2 linked regions of the Macaca mulatta genome follow. The protein of the gene in region 1 purifies or fractionates together with the protein of each later gene. This does not show direct contact. Links are inferred from orthologs where the notes say so. Each region holds a gene or a part of one and is shown on either strand. Other genes may lie near its edges.

The links. The genes of interacting proteins can lie anywhere in the genome.
Region 2: the proteins of MTCL1 (region 1) and MARK2 purify together in Homo sapiens (affinity purification with mass spectrometry; 5 studies listed by BioGRID and IntAct, with this or other methods). This does not show direct contact. The link is inferred for Macaca mulatta from reciprocal best matches to the Homo sapiens genes MTCL1 and MARK2.

The regions. Positions count from the first base shown.
Region 1 is NC_133423.1:79,860,082-79,863,581, forward strand, and holds part of MTCL1 (microtubule cross-linking factor 1), read left to right. Parts: coding exon 1-526; intron 527-3,169; coding exon of another isoform or gene 3,170-3,208; exon of another isoform or gene 3,209-3,226; intron 3,227-3,500. UniProt on the Homo sapiens protein: Microtubule-associated factor involved in the late phase of epithelial polarization and microtubule dynamics regulation.
Region 2 is NC_133419.1:10,518,610-10,522,109, forward strand, and holds part of MARK2 (serine/threonine-protein kinase MARK2), read right to left. Parts: intron 2,786-3,500; coding exon 2,606-2,785; intron 2,364-2,605; coding exon 2,310-2,363; intron 1-2,309. UniProt on the Homo sapiens protein: Serine/threonine-protein kinase. Involved in cell polarity and microtubule dynamics regulation. Phosphorylates CRTC2/TORC2, DCX, HDAC7, KIF13B, MAP2, MAP4 and RAB11FIP2. Phosphorylates the microtubule-associated protein MAPT/TAU.

The sequences.
Region 1 (3,500 bases):
CCTCCCCAAAGCTGACCAGCCAAATAACAGGACGTCACCAGGGATGGCCCAGAAAGGGTACAGTGAGTCAGCCTGGGCCCGCTCCACCACCACAAGGGAGAGCCCCGTGCACACCACCATCAATGATGGCCTCTCCAGCCTCTTCAACATCATCGACCACAGCCCCGTGGTGCAGGACCCCTTCCAGAAGGGGCTGCGGGCCGGCAGTCGGTCTCGCTCAGCAGAACCCCCACCGGAGCTGGCCCCAGGCCAGGAAACAGGCACCAATTCCCGAGGAAGGTCACCTAGCCCCATTGGGGTGGGCTCAGAGATGTGCAGGGAGGAAGGGGGAGAGGGCACGCCAGTGAGGCAGGACTTATCTGCTCCCCCTGGCTACACACTCACTGAGAACGTGGCCCGGATCCTCAACAAGAAGCTGCTGGAGCATGCCTTAAAGGAGGAGAGGAGGCAGGCTGCCTACGGGCCCCCGGGTCTCCACAGTGACAGCCACTCGCTGGGGGACACAGCCGAGCCAGGGCCCATGGAGGTAATGAACGCCGAGTGCCCCACACCCTCCCCCGCCAGCTGTTCCCTTTAGCTGTGGGGCAGGTTGGGATTTGGGATTGTGCTCTGTCATTTGATCTCAGGAATCGTCCGTGATTGGTTGTCGGGAGCTGGGGAGGTGTTGGGTTTATGGGAGAATAGAATAGGCAGAAAAAACCCTGAGGAACTTTTCTAAAGAAAATGTTCTTTTATTGTCCTCAGGAAATCATATAGTACACGATTTGATGTGGGTTCTGTCACCAGTCTAAGTGATTGATCCTTGCTTATCAGGGCGTTTCATTTGGGGTCATAGCTTGCCTTCTTTCTGTGTGAATTTGTGTATGTGTACAAACTATGGGATGGTTGTGTCAGGCTTTCTGCATACTGCAGACCTTCATATGGGACAGCATGAGGTGAGCTGCAGAGGGTCTGGACAACGTGGGCACGAGCACATCTCATCAGGAGCCATAAGATCTCGATTCCTGGGCTGGCTTCCTTACAAAACAGCCATCTGGCAGCTCACAAATCACTTACCCTCTTTGTGGCCATGAGCCCCCTGAGCAGTAAAACCAAGTGAAACAAATAGGCAAAATCAAAATCCTGCCCTAATACAATATGATTATCATTATTGCCCTTGATACTACTCACAAATCAATCCACTGTGAACTGGGTTCTGATACGTATCTACCTGTGGTGTTTTTGTACAAACAGGGAGCAAAATGAAAGCCTGATGATATGCTGGTGGTGACGGCTATGGGGATGCCACTTTGTGGTTTGTGCAGCACAGAGAGGACGTGTCTGTCTGGCGAGTGAGTCCAACTCGCCTGGAGTCTGGATGAACAGGCTCCACGCTGGGAACCTCTGGCCCCATGGGCACTCCCCCAGCCAGGCTGCTCCCGCAGATGGTAGGGGTCAGAGGAGGAGGACGGCAGCATGCTCCTGGGCTGCCCGCTGCTTTCTCGCCAGGACCCAAGCAGCCCTGGCTTCATGGGCAGGGAGAGGAAGAAGGTGTATTGCCTGTTTCACCTGGCCCATGTTTCCCACAAGAGGGTAAATGATGGCTGGCTTCCCAGTCCGGCCCACTAGTGAATGTTTAACTCAGAATGCAGGCTGCAAATCTGAATAGGTCAAACCTGTGGAACTGCCAGTGACTTACAGAAATAGCAATTCCGCATGGTTCACACCTAATATAAATATTGATGCTACATGGTCTACATGTTCCAAGATCTGAGTCTTTGTGATAAAGTTGTTTGCATGCTCTGAGGACAAACTGCTGGTTGAATGTTCTCAGGTGACAAATGGTGTCTCCTTTGGGCTACTGTCACCCCATCCTTCTGGGGTCCTCAGGTAAGTACTGCTGCCGCAGAAAGGTCTGTTTATATGGGAATGCCCTGCCTTCTTAGGGCTCCCGAGGGCTCTGATTTCAGTTGACATTGAGGCTATGTCACAAAGCATTAACCGGCTGTGCCTGTGTTGTCTATTTATATTACACACCAAATAGAAATTGTTTTTTAGGAACCAAAAAATGCTTTGAATTACTAATAGTGAATCCTGCAAGCAAAAACAGGTTCATGATGGGATCCCAGCATCATGGCATGAAAATGGTTTTATCAGTACAAAGTGGCCCAACCCCTTTTGTCCTCCGTAAAGTATTCGTTTAGATTTTCTCTTCACTTGGTGTGTTTGCCACCAAAAGAGATGACGTGAAGGGAGCGCAGTTGCAGGGACTCAGAGCGGGCACGGAGCACTCATCGGCAGCATCTCAATGCCACGGGCTTTTTTTTCCATTTCTGTTGGAATTTTGCTTGTTCTGGATTCCAGTGGGATTATTCCTGAATTGATGTAATATATTAGGGCCACTGCAGCCCCTTCCCATTGCCCCATAAATTATGCAGTAGTTCTAGGTATGCATTCCCAAATCCCCAGGACTGCTTCTGATTCCAAGCCCACCCCGTGCCCTGCTGCGGAATCTCTCCCTGAATGTTCACTCAGGCATCCAGACCCAGGAGTGACGCAGGTGACAGGCAATCTCCCTTTCTCACTGCACTCTTCCGGAAACCACTCAGGCCTCTTTTTCTCACGACACCATGGCACTAGTTCAGCAGTGCAGAGAGAAGCCGTGAGGAGGAGTTCTAGTGTGAAGAGAAGGAACAATCTGAAAATGGAATGCTATTCCTCCCTCCCCTAAGTGGAAAATATGAGGGGAACTTTTTAGAGTAAGTGGCAGTAGCTTGGTGGTTTGACCAAAACAAACGCAGCCGAATAAAGGTCTCTGTTTTAGATAACAGTCATGCAATTTCCATACCTCCGTTTGCCAGAATGCTGTTGGAAATGTTAAATGCTAAAGGGTGGCTCGGCATAGAAACTGGAGGGAGGTCTGTGGCTCCTCCCTGGAGTTTCCATCTCTCTGGGCAGATGGCAGAGGGCAGGCCTGTCTGCCCAGCGCCCGGCCGCTTCCCCACACCTGCCTTGGAGTGAATGTGCTAGATCTGAGAGCCTGCAAGTCTCTCCTGGTGGCTGTCCCTGAGTGAGAGGGACGGCCCTCTACCTCCGGGCTTGCTGACTTGAAACCTTTATTGTTCTCCTGTTTAAAAAACACTTTCCAACCTTCTTGCTTTTCTCTTCTTTCTCTGTCTGTTCTGTCCAGAACCAAACTGTCTTACTAACTGCCCCCTGGGGACTCTAGCCCTGCCTGCCTCACGCTGTAAGTGCTTTCTTCCTTGTTTCCCTACTGCCCGGAGAGCTCGTGTTGTGTAACTCGCAGTTGGCACCCGACACTCATCGCCTGAGGGAGTTCTGCCCGGTGGCGGCACCCTCGCTCACCCCGGGTTCCACGAGGCTCCCCTAAACCCAGCAACAGATTGACAGGGCCAGAGACTCATCTGCCCTGTGAGAGGGTTGACCACTCAGTGCAGAGAAGGGTTTTTAGGTTATAGAGATTCTGCTGAGATTTCTGTACTTTTGTACATTTGCAGCCA
Region 2 (3,500 bases), on another chromosome or scaffold:
AAAACAGCAGGCGGGTTTTGGCTGGGTGCCTCTGTTGGAGGGAGTGTGAGCCCATGTGCGTGAATATTCAGAACCCGAGCTGCTGCCTTGGTTCAGTGACAGTACACACCCCAGCTTGGTCTGTGTAAAGGGGTGGTGGAGCACCAGAGGGGGACCCCATCATTTTCTGATTTACAGTAGTCAGAGGGCTCTGTTCCAGGGGATAGGCCTTTCCTTCCTGGGCCTCCAGGGTGGTGACAGAAGAAGCCACTCCTATATATAGCTGATGCCAATTTTAATCAAATCCACCTCCACACACTCACGCTCTCTTTGTGAAACAAAACCAGGGGCTCCAAACCATGTATTTTCATAAAGACAGATGACAGAAATGAACTCTTTCCCCTCTGCGGGGGCCAGAGAACTGGAGGTGGGGCTTTTTGTAATTCCAGGCCTCATCACTTGCACAAAGAGCAGAACTAGTTTTTGTTGTTGTTTTTGTTTGGGGGGGGGTAGGGGAAGCCCTAATTCAAGATATGGTTTATGGAATAAAGTGAATACATTTGTTTCCCCTTTAATGATGCCCCAGAGCTTTCCTGAGCTAGAACACAAAAGAAGAAAAAGGCTTTCCAATCTTCAGGAACCCAATGCTGACCTTACCCTTTATAAGAGCCTAGGTTTTTCTTACTTTTTTCCCTGGCCCAACAGATATTTTGGAAGAAGAGGCAAAAAGCCTCGCTACCACCCTCTGGGGTGGTAATGGGGAGCAGCACTGAAATGGGGCCAGAGGCAACTGCCAAGGTTTCTTCCCCTAAGGCTGCTCACCTGGCATGGAAGTGGCATTCTTCTGGGAGAACTTGGGGTTTTCTGGGCTCATCTAGACCCCTGAGGGGGCTAGCTTCTTCGATGTTCATTTTTTAGGGATTATTGCTGAGATCACATTTTTGGCCAGAATCAGACTGGCTTTAGTAACAGAGTCTCAAAAGGTTTTGAAAATGGCTCTATTTGTCCGGTGTTGGTGCCTTCCACAGAGTCAGGAAGAATTAGGGAGAAAAACAAGGTAGGGAGTAAGATGGCTTGGTGGACTGGCGATTATTACGATGGCAGGTTAGACTGCTCCCAAGGCCAAATGGCCCATCCCACGCTGACTTCTTCTGTGGGGCTGCAGCCAGTATGTCAGGAGCAGCCCTTTTTCCCTTCCTCCTGGAAAGCTCCAAGCAAGGACACCCTGGTGATGACAGCAATGATTCCACTGAACTGAAGAACCCTTGAAGGGATCCCAGGGGTAACAATAAATAGGAAACACCTTGGTTCTGGCTATTTGCACGTCAGGGGAACAACTCATCCACTCTAATTCCATGAGCATTGCCCTCAACAACAATCCTCAGCCCCTACTCCTAAGGTTCCCAGTATCACTGTATCTGACTCTAATGTTAGCACGAATCATGCCTTCTCCTAACTCAACTACCACAATATGCTTACGGAGAAAATATCTGATTTGCCACAAGATGAACAGAACTAGGTTTTGTTGAGAAAATTTGAGCTGGAGCTCATTCTCTAAAATGTAGCTGGCACAGAACCCAGCTGCAGGTTCCCTGTTTCCTCTTATTCTTGTATTTCTAAAGCCACTGCCCTGGATCATTCCAGATCTTGAAGTAGCTGCATGTGTTTCTAGTAGTGGCTACAAACATGTGTTTTTGCATAGGGCTGGCCGCAAGCCAGAAGATAACAAGATGCAGGAAGTAGGTCAGACAGGTAGGCCAAGCGGCTGGGAATGAACAGAAAGACTTCACAAGAGCCAGTGCCTGTGGCCAGGAAACCCACTCAGGAGGAGTCACCACAGAGGATTCAACTAAAACCCCTAAGGTAGCAGAGCCATGTGGGGTGGTGAGTGAAATGGCCGGAAAATTTAAACTAGGAATTCAAGAGGAGGTCTAAATGGGGTGAGTAGATCATTGACCCCAGAAGAGAGATTTAGAAAGGGACAGGAGGGCTGGGCGCGGTGGTTCACACCTGTAATTTTAGCACTTTGGGAGGCCGAGACGAGCGGATGACTTGAGGTCAGGAATTTGAGACCAGCCTGGATAACATGGTGAAACCCCATCTCTACTAAAAATACAAAACTTAGCCAGGCGTGGTGGCGGGTGCCTGTAATCCCAGCTACTTGGGAGGCTGCAGTGGGAGAATCACTTGAAAACAAGAGGCGGAGGTTGCAGTGAGCTGAGATCACGCCATTGCACTCCAGCCTGGGTGACAAGAATGAGACTCTGACTCAAACAAAACAAAACAAAACAAAACAAAACACAAACGGACAGCAGGTGCCATGTGCTTACCTTCTGGAGGCTGGAGGAGTTCAGTTGAGTCTTGTCAATGATCTTCACAGCTACCTGAGGATGAGACAAAAAAGCCCCAAATCACTTCTCTGACTAGGCAAAATCCAGGATTCCAATCTACTTCCTCCTTTATATTTCGCACTCCTTTTCATCCCACAGCTTTTTGCACCCCTATATGTCAGATCTCATTTCTGCCGGATAAACAAGAGGTTGGCTGCAGTAGTAGTCCCGTCACCACCTGCTGGAGTGTCAACAGGGCTGGGAGGTGCTGCCATGTCCCCAGTCCCAGTGCTCACCTCTTTCCCAGTCAGGATGTGTCGGGCCAACTTCACCTTGGCAAAGTTACCCTTGCCAATGGTCTTGAGGAGCCGGTAGTTTCCAATGTGGGGCTGCTCATCAGCAGAGGTGGCTGAGTTGCGGCCCCGAATCATGTTGGACTTACTGCTGGGCTTGGAGTCAAGGTGTCCCAAGGTGGGCTGCAGGGTAGAAACAGAGATACCATTACAAGCTACACTTCCAGTCCTCTAAACACTCTCTGCAAAATATGTAAGGGAGGAGGGTGCAGGGGCAGACTCCAGGGGGCTGGTAGGCATGTGAAGAAACATAGGACAGGAGAAGAAAGGAGAGGGGGCTGAGATGACAGCCAGTCTTCACTCCAAAGGAGCACATCATAAGGTCCAGTGCCCAGGTCCTGTGGGTGGCAAAGCTCAGGAGCAGAGCTGTCCCATCACTGGCTCCCTGAACCTCCACTGGCAACACAGCAGCTCGTCTGGCTCAGGAGGGAGAGCCGGTACCCCACTTCCCACTATGCTGCTTGTGCAGACTGCGAGAAGACTGCATCTCAAAGTCATGGTAGCAACATGGTCATAACTGCTTCAATGCCCTCACTGCCACCCAAAACTTACATGAAACTTTATTATTTATTTATTTATTATTTTGAGACAGAGCTTTGCTCTTGTTGCCTAGGCTGCAGTGCAATGGTGCAATCTCAACTCACCGCAACCTCCGCCTCCTGGGTTTAAGCAATTCTCCCACCTCAGCATCCCGAGTAGCTGGGATTACAGTCACACGCCACCACGCCCGGCTAATTTTGTATTTTTAGTAGAGACGGGGTTTCTCCATGTTGCTCAGGCTGGTCTCAGACTCTCGACCTCTGGTGATCCGCCCGCCTTGGCCTCCCAAAGTGCTGGG